Linked DNA regions of Oryzias latipes. Each later gene encodes a partner of the first gene's protein in a complex. Links are inferred from orthologs where the notes say so. Each region holds a gene or a part of one and is shown on either strand. Other genes may lie near its edges.

Evidence for each region.
Region 2: cnot10 (region 1) and CCR4-NOT transcription complex subunit 7 share a complex: the UniProt entries of both Homo sapiens proteins name them as parts of the CCR4-NOT complex. The link is inferred for Oryzias latipes from reciprocal best matches to the Homo sapiens genes CNOT10 and CNOT7.

Annotation. Positions count from the first base shown.
Region 1 is NC_019874.2:7,745,551-7,750,220, forward strand, and holds the start of cnot10 (CCR4-NOT transcription complex subunit 10), read left to right. Parts: upstream 1-1,508; 5' UTR 1,509-1,704; coding exon 1,705-1,735; intron 1,736-2,318; coding exon 2,319-2,413; intron 2,414-2,518; coding exon 2,519-2,680; intron 2,681-2,752; coding exon 2,753-2,906; intron 2,907-4,000; coding exon 4,001-4,140; intron 4,141-4,670. UniProt on the Homo sapiens protein: Component of the CCR4-NOT complex which is one of the major cellular mRNA deadenylases and is linked to various cellular processes including bulk mRNA degradation, miRNA-mediated repression, translational repression during translational initiation and general transcription regulation.
Region 2 is NC_019868.2:26,784,217-26,789,116, reverse strand, and holds the start of CCR4-NOT transcription complex subunit 7, read left to right. Parts: upstream 1-1,885; 5' UTR 1,886-2,087; exon of another isoform or gene 2,088-2,317; intron 2,318-2,487; 5' UTR 2,488-2,494; coding exon 2,495-2,611; intron 2,612-3,220; coding exon 3,221-3,414; intron 3,415-4,568; coding exon 4,569-4,730; intron 4,731-4,900. UniProt on the Homo sapiens protein: Has 3'-5' poly(A) exoribonuclease activity for synthetic poly(A) RNA substrate. Its function seems to be partially redundant with that of CNOT8.

The sequences.
Region 1 (4,670 bases):
GTTTTCAACCTTTTACTCACAATCACCTGTCTAGAATCAGCTGCAAATTACACACAAGTTTTCTGTGTTGACATTGCAATTACCAGGGAAAAAAAGCTTTTGTTTTATCTCAGCTTAAAGATGATTTGTTGTAATTCATCGATGCTGTTATTTTATTTTGTTCTGCATCCACATGATTGCGTTTGCACCTGATTTCAGATTAAACCGGTTCAGTGTGGGACACACTTGTGGTTTCATTTGAATTTGTCATATCCATCCATCCATCCATTTCTGTGTCACAGTGTTGTCTGTCGTAGGGCACACAATCACACACACATGCACACCTATAGGGACACTATTAGAGTAGCCAATTAACCAATGAAGCATGTTTTTAGACTGTGGGAGGGAGCTGGAGTGCCTGGAGAAAACCCACACATGCATGAGGAGAACAGGCAACTCCACAGACAAAGGTCCCAGTCGGGATTTAAACTGGGGCCTTCTCAGCACTAACCATTGTTCCACCTTGCAGCCCAGCGGCATTGTTATATTTGAACCCTGTTGAAGGGAATTTGCAGGACATGGGTGGGGGTGGTTGGGTGTGTTATGTTTTGGGGATGGCTCCCATCCTCGTCTCCTTGATTAGCTGTTTCCTCTATGTTCTTTCTTAACTCCATCTCTGCCTCTTTTTCTTCACGTTGTCTCCTTATTATTTGAAGTTTCCATTAATCTGTTTTAGTTCCTCTGTTTCTTCTTCTACCTCGCCTCACCTTTCCCTCTCCTGTCCATTGGAGAACAAGGAACAGTTTACCTTTAACTTGCATCTGGTATTTCATTTCTCACTGAGGTTATTGTAGTTAACAAGAAAAAACCAAACTAGATGTGATAAGGCACAAGAAGGAGACAGAGGCTTTGGGTAAGTAGCTCAATGACACCTGTGTTGACACCTTGATGCTACAAGACACAATCTCCAGCAGCTGCTCAGAGATCCGCCCAGCCTGCTGAAGAAAGAGGCGCACCATCAGACTGACCATAGCCACTGAGGAGAAGGACTGGAAGATACAGTTGAGGAGGAGGAGGAGCAGCATCATCAGGTGTCACTGAACTAATCCATGCGTATACCCCTGCAGGACTTGGAGAAGAAGCTGGATGTGTGCCGATCCTCATTGACGAGGCAGCTGTTGACCCAAAAGGAAAAGAGCAAGGAAGTCAGAAAAGAATCTTGCAAATAACAGGAGCAGACTGATCAGCTGAGCAGATACATCCTAAAGAGTTTCTGACTGTTTCATTCTCTGCCTTTTACTGACAGACAGATATTGGAAGTGGAGAAGTTCCACTATTGAGCTCATTTAATGAAGCCACAGAACTGTCTTCTACCTGATCAGCAGCCTGACTCGATAGGACGGATGTTAGATTTTGTTAATAAAGTTTGTTTATACTTAACTACAAATAAAGTTTATTCAAAATAAAAAAAGACGGCGCGTGCTCTCATTCTTACCATGGACAGTTACTTCCAAAGGGGGCGCTGTTGACAAACCGTGCGCTGGTGTCGATGGCGCCAGTGACCGAAGAAGAACCAAGAGAAGCGGCTACAGCAGTCAGTCACTGAAGCCGACCACAAACAGAGCTGGTCCGGTTCGTGTAAAACTCTTTCCAGTTGGATATTCAGGATTTCCTCTTCCCGGCGTTGTTCTTGTGTTCTCCTACAGCTCCGCGGCTGGATTGTGGATGAAGACCCGGGAAATGGCCGAAAACTCCGGTGGGTGTTCCGGCTGATGATGCTACTAACTAGCTGCTGCTCAGTTAGCGGCTGCTTCTGCATGATGATGATCCGTCAGTGTAGCTGAAACCCCCCCAAAAGACATTAGAGGTAGCCCGACAGCCCCGTGGCAGATCCAGGACTCCCAGGTAACCGTCCCGAAGTTGGGGTGCAGATAATACTGAGCAGACTGTGGTTAGATCAAAGTTCTTGAGGTGATCCAAGCAGGTCCTGCTGCTCATCATGGAACTATGACAGGACAGACCATAACTCAGACACAACACCACGTATGAAGGAACCCCAGCTTGGCCATGAACAGACGCGTCCCACAATAAACTGAGAGAAGGTCATTACGTCGTCATACACGTGACATTCTTTTGCTAAACTTAAGGCTACAATATCTGCCTTAAATGAGAGGGATTTTCAGAAATGGTCTTAGGAAGTTACCATGTGGGGTCTGAAGCCTCCAGAGTGAGAGGGAAGGACTGCAGAGACATGGCGCCCTTTGGGTTCTGGTTGAGCCACGCATTCCGTCCTCAGGTGGAACTCAGAGGGTTTGATGTCTCCTCTGTTGCAATTTCAGCCGAACGCAACGAGGAGAAGCATGACGGCTCGGGTGTGACGGGCATGAGCGACCAGGAGAAGGAGCTGGCCTCGAGTGCGTACGAGTGCTTCTTGGTAAGTCCGTCTCTCTTCGGATCGTCAGCAGAACAGGTTTTGGTGCATGTGGTGGAGGCTGGAGCTGGGTAATGCCACACGACGTGAAGCCTCTGTGTCTCACAGGCTGGACGGTACGAAGAGTCCATGAAGCACCTGGAAGCCCTGCTGGAGTTCAACAAAGAGGACTACAAGATCGCCATGAACAAGGCCGTCACAGAGTTCTACAGGAGCAGTCAGACCACCACGGGCACTTTGAGGCAGACGCTGATGGCCATGAAGAACCGGGTAACAGCAGCTCACCGACACCTGCACTCTAATACGTTATGAGACGTTTGATTGGCCGACTGTGTCCGCCAGCTCCACTCATCGCTGACGGAAGACGCCGATGGCCTGGACGACGTGGAGAACAGCCTGCTGTACTACAATCAAGCGGTCATCTGTTACCACTTGAAGCAGTTCTCTGAGGCCATTTCCATTGGAGAGAAGCTCTACCAGTTCTTGGAGCCGTTTGGTGAGTAGTCAGCAGGGCAGACTCCCCGCCTGCCGCTGTCTGTGGCACAGGTGCATGCTCTGCTCTGCGTCTGGACGTTCACATGGGGGTCACTGAGGTCACATTGTGAGAACACTGGGGTCCTGTTGTGTCCCAGAGAGGTCTGTTTCAGAAATGGAGAGTCCCTGCAGCCTCATTGATTATGGACCTGGAGTGTTTGACGACGCTGAAGTTGGCTTCCGATTCACAGCTTCCAATTCTCCAGGGGACTAAAGGAACATTCCACGGCATTTTTCACATGAAGGCCACGTAGAACCGGTTCCTCTTCAAACCCCACAGGGCCTGGACTGCTCAAACCTGGATTCCATTATGATTTAAATAGTAAATACATTAAACACAGATGTGGAGAAGTCTTCATGAATGTCCAATGAGGTTTAGTGCATGGACACACCATCTTTGGTCATGTGACCCTAAGGTCTGTGCTGAGCTCAGTTGACGAGTTTTCAGCTCCCTGGTAGTTGCTCTTCAACCAGATTCTACAAACTTCTAGCTTTTCCAATAATGGGAAATGTCAGATGTTGGGGGGGGCACACCCAAAGTCACCTGTCAGTCACCAGATCACGCCTCCTTTTTGATCCCAAATACCCTCAAATGGAAGCATCGTCTCCATTGTAGTGTCTGTAAATGTAATGAGAGGTCAAACCTGGATTTATGCTGGTGCTGCCTTTTCTGATGTAAACATCCCAGCTTTCTTTGTGATCTGACCAATCAGCTGATACTTTTCTTTTCAAACCAGCTTCAATGATGAAGTTAAAAGTCTTGGTTTGAGCCACATCTTCAGGCTGTCCATCTTCAGACGGCATGTTGTGCAGCAGGATCTGTTCTCAGCGCCTGTGGGTTCAGCTTTTTTCTGCAACGTTCTGTCTGAAAGCTCCTGTGATGGATCAAGTTCCCACAGTCACCGTCCTGATCCTCAGGGACGCGTCCCGCACAGTCTGACCCAACAGGAAGCCTGCTGGTGCAGACTGGACTGGGGGGGATTGCTCCATGCATGGCGTGCCTTACATCAGGTCTGCTCTCGGCTGTGTGTGTAAAGACTTTTTCATTTGTCCCAGAAGAGAAGTTTGCTCAGGCCGTCTGCTTCCTCCTGGTGGACTTGTACCTGCTGACCTTCCAGCCAGAGAAGGCGCTGCACCTGCTCGCCGTGCTGGATAAGCTGTCTGCTCAGGGCGGCAGCAGGAACGGGAAAGGAGAGGTAAGCGGCGCCGGCAGTGTGATGAAGAGACGCCTCATTTACAGGAGGAGGCTTTGTTCTACTTAGATTTGTTTAACCTTTTTCTGTCCCTTAGGTAAATGTTAAACCTTAAATCCTAATGATTTACAAGAACAAAGATGTTGAAAAGCAGAGTTATGGTATCTTTCGGAGTATAAATAGCTTTTTAGTTTGGGCAGGGGTGTGACTTATACTCAGGAGCAAATGATATATGTGATTTAAAAAAACTGTTTTTTAAACTGAGTCTGAAGAGACGGAAGCACCATTCAGACGCAGCTCCTGCAGCAGACGGTGAAGCTCACCGTCCTGGGAGAATCTGTGAACGATGTCATGGAGCGGCTGTGACTACAGAGCTCTTCAAAAGTCTACCAAAAGTTAGACTTGCAGTCCAGAGCCACTTGTAGTCTGTGAAGTACTGGAGTTAGTTTCTCTGCAGTTTTCTTTTCCTCACTCCAGCCGGTTTCAGGCTGCAGTGACGGCTCGTGCGGCTGCTCTCTGGGCCTCTTCATGAC
Region 2 (4,900 bases), on another chromosome or scaffold:
TTTAAATCAATCTAAAATGAGATATTGATAATATGTATATCAATTTTTATGTCTTGCAAAATGTATTATTTGAGATTTGTTTTGCTTCTTTTGATTCTCCAATTAATTAAGACAAAAATACAAACAGTTGTAAACATAAAGAAATAAAATCTAAAATTATGTAATTTTTTATAAAAATGTATTTACATATTTTTAAATAAAACACGAAATAACAAAATGTTTAAATGATTTATGAACGTGGAATGTATGAGCATCGAAAAATACCATTAACTGATAAAATTATAATAAAGAGAAGTAATTGCAGAAAAAATTAGCATGAAAAATGCAATAATTCATTCATTTTCTTAACCGTTTATTCCCTTTCGGGGTCACGGGGCTGCCGGAGCCTATCCCGGCCACTTGGGCATAGGCAAGGGATACCCTGGACTGGTTGCCAGTCTGTTGCAGGGTGGAATATCCTCAATCACACATCCATTCACTCTCACACTCACAGTTATGGACAATTTAGAGTTGCCAATTAACCTATGAAGCATGTTTTTGGATGGTGGGAGGAAGCCGGAGACCCCGGAGAAAACCCACGCATACACGGGGAGAACATGCAAACTCCACACAGAAAGGTCCCCCATTGATGTTCTGTTTTTCACGTCCCCCAGCCGGGACTTGAACCGGGGGCCTTCTTGCTGTGAGGCAAGAGCGCTAACCACTGCGCCACCGTGCAGCCTAAATGCAATAATATTTACTAAAAACGATTTTTTTGTAATCTTATATTAGCCACTGATTTTTTTTATTTTAGAAAAAATTACATAGTGGGAGATTGTCCCATTTTGTCTTTGTGTTGCAAATAAATAGAAGATGAGGAAGTGAAGCAACAATATGTTTATAAATAAATTATTTTGTTTTAAAAAGTACACATCCTACCTGAGGATGTGTACAAATCAAGAAAATGTGGGTCATAGTTTCAGGTTTGGCATCACAAAAAGAACCACTGGTGTCATCATTTTTGCAGCTGTGTAAAATACTTCATGCCCGAATTTATTCTCAATGTTGAAAAAACTTCCTTTGTGAATGAAGTGCTGGAGAAAATGAAATGTTATGAATTACTAACTTACGGGATGAGGGGTTAAAGGTCAAAGAAAAAGAAAAAGAATGAAATACAGATAACATAGAAAAAAATTAAACATTACAAAAATTACATAAGGTATGAAAAATTATAAGGGCATTTACACAACATATTGGTTATTGAGGGTTTGTGTTCAACAATAAAAGTTAAAGGTAAAATCTTTTTCACCCTAAATGTCCTCTAGTCCATATTTGTTGAAAATGTTTCCCTTAAAGATGTCAATCATATGCATTCTTTTTTTTCATCTTAGAGTGGTCATAAAATGATCAAAATCAACAAAAATGCGAACGTTGGATTATGATGCGTCTGTGAAAATTGTACTTTTTTATTAAAACAAGTGATTTGAAAAACGAATTTATCTCTGCATCATGTTTTACTTGAATTTAAAATGTGGCCTTTTTGGTTTCATGGCTAACATTTTTATTTGTGTAAAACTTTTTCAGTAATTTACCAAAATAATATAACTTTAGGGGCAAAAAAAAGTTTATTTTACTTTAATATAAATTGAAAAGAAAATATATTTTGTGAAAAAATAAAAAAAATCTGTACAGTATAATTTTTAAAAATAATATATCCTTTGAAAATAATTATATATACACTTTCAACGAGAGCCTGTTCACCTTGAATAAATTAGTAATTAATAAGAAATATATAACGTTTATTTGTACTTTTTAAAATTTATATATTCCTCTTTACAAACATTTATTGGAAAACCTTTTTTCACATTTTACGGATGAGGATCCTGAAACGTCCTTACGTCCTGACGTTTCACTTTACGTAATGACGTCACTGTGTGGGGTCCGCTGTGATGGCAGCCGTAGGTTGACATCAAGCCCCACTGAATATAAAAGTATTTCAAAGTTGGCGGAACACCCCCCTCCCCTCCCTGCTGACAGATATCACAGAACACACGGCCAGCTTTCAGATAGCACACGCTCAAACACGCGCGCGCCCGTTTCGGGGAACGGTGAGTCAACGAAACAAAACCTTTGCAGTCTCCCAAAAAAAAAAAAAAGAAAAGAAGTGACGCCCCGGCGTGTGTGCGCGCGCGCGCACTGCTGCTACTTACTCGTGCCTGTCCTGTTGTACAACCACTCCTGTGTAGTTGATCGAAACTAATGTTTTGTGTGAGAAAACCGCACAGTCGCCACTCCTCTTGTTCGGAAGTTTTACCTCCAACCCGCTAACTGTTAACAGGTAACAAGCTAGCAACAGTGCTGCTTTAAATTACGAGCTAGCAGGCGGCTAAAACACACATGACTTCTACTACTAACTAAGCGGCTCTTTTCATGTGGTTTCGGCTGCTTTGTCTGTGTTTTCATGATGCTCTCATCATCCCCCGCCCCCCATCTCCACGCGTGGTGAAGTGGCACTATGCCCGCAGCCACTGTAGACCACAGCCAAAGAATATGTGAGGTCTGGGCCAGTAACCTGGAAGAGGAGCTCAAGAGAATCCGGCACGTCATCCGAAAGTACAACTACATCGCAATGGTGAGAGATGCTCAGAGACCCCACCCATCCATCCACCTATCCATCCACCCACCTATCCATCCATCCACCCATCCATCCATCCATCCACCCATCCATCCATCCACCTACCCACCTATCCACCCACCCATCCACCCACCCATCCATCCACCTATCCATCCACCTATCCATCCATCCATCCACCTATCCATCCATCCACCTATCCACCCACCCATCCACCCATCCACCCACCCATCCATCCACCCACCCACCCATCCACCCATCCATCCATCCATCCATCCATCTACCCACCCACCCATCCATCCATCCATCCATCCATCCACCTACCCAACCATCGATCCACCCATCCATCCATCCACCCACCCATCCACCCATCCACCCACCCATCCATCCATCCACCCACCCACCCACCCATCCACCCACCCATCCATCCACCCACCCATCCATCCATCCATCCACCCACCCATCCATCCATCCACCTACCCAACCATCGATCCATCCATCCATCCACCCACCCACCCACCCACCCATCCATCCATCCATCCATCTATCCATCCTCCCACCCACCCACTGTCACTGGTGTCCACGGTCCCTCGTTCTTGCCTCTTTCAGGACACAGAGTTTCCAGGAGTTGTAGCCCGACCCATCGGAGAGTTCCGGAGCAATGCCGACTATCAGTACCAGTTGCTGCGCTGCAACGTGGACCTGCTGAAGATCATCCAGCTGGGCCTGACCTTCATGAACGAGCAGGGAGAGTACCCCCCCGGGACGTCAACGTGGCAGTTCAACTTTAAGTTTAGCCTCACGTGAGTCTCTCACTATGTCTAAACAGACTCGTCCGCTTGGATTCCCATGAACGACTTCACAATCTGTAAAAACAATTCAATTCAAAACACATTAAAGTCCTATATGCCTTTGATCTATTTTAAAAGCATTCCCAATCAGATTTAAATTATGGTTATTCCGTATTTTAGCCACACACAAAAAAAAGTTGTCATTTTCCTGGATATAGTTTCTGCAGTTTCTACCCTTTATTCTCCTTCCTTGTTGCTGAGAGCTCTCTGTTTACACAATCTCCCGGTAGCTTACAGCCCCCTCATACCGCCTGACCTGATATTGACCGGTGCAACAAAAAGGGCGAGCCAGCTCAGACGAGGAAGACGAAGGTTAATTTTCTTTATGTATCATCAAAAAAAAAAACCACCACCACATGTTAAGCCCTCCAAAAACACAACTTACATTTTTTTTATCAGAGGGGGTAGGCGCACAAAGGGGATTTAAATTAATCGAAGAGAAAGCATCCTGAATGAAAATAGGAGTTTTTATATTTAAAAAAAAAAAAACAGATCAAAGCTGCCTGAAAAATACAAGTAATTAATGAAAAAAATAGCAATAATGCATGCTCTAAATAGGAAGCACAGGTGTTTTTTTAATTGTTTTTTATTGTTAAACAGATGGGGTTTTTTTTTACTTTTTTTACGTAAGCTTGGGTGGCTTTTTAAAAAAAATTTTAAGTTATGTTTGTTTTGTGAATCATGTAAAACATCTAAAGATTCTTGGAGAAATCCATGGTGGATGTTCTGGGACGGAGGAGGCGGGGCTTACAGGAGAAGCATTTGTCTTTCAGAATAAGAGCGGCGCTTTCATCCCTTCTCACACGATTGGTCCCCCGTGGGTTCAACGATGCTTTTCAAAGTCAAGCGTTATTCTGTCCATCGTTCCCAAATGGAAGAATTTGCACTTTTTCCAGCATCCAGTCAGATCCTAGTCGATCTATTCCTGCCTTAAGTTTTTTTTTGAAGGTTTCCCTCTTTGCTGAGCAAACCTACAAAGTTTAAGTTTTTTAATGGTTATTCTGTGGCGTTTTGTTTGTTGTTTTTTTGGAATGAAAGCGTGAAGCTTAGAAACAGAGATGTGTTTTATTTATTTATTTCATTTATGTATTTATTGTTTTAACCAGAGAGGACATGTACGCGCAGGACTCCATCGAGCTCCTGACCACTTCAGGAATTCAGTTCAAGAAGCACGAGGAAGAAGGCATCGAGACGCTGTTCTTTGCAGAGCTGCTGATGACATCAGGAGTGGTGCTCTGTGACGGAATCAAGTGGCTCTCCTTCCATAGGTAGCCCCCCATCAATAGTTGCTCTTCACGTTTGTTATTGACGGTAAAGTCATCGTCTTTTTCAAGCTTAAATAACAAACTCTGCATCCCGCGCCGCTGCATCTTTTATTTTATAACAAACCTATATGTCTCTACCTGTTTTTTTGTGTTGTTTTTAGCTAATCGCTTCC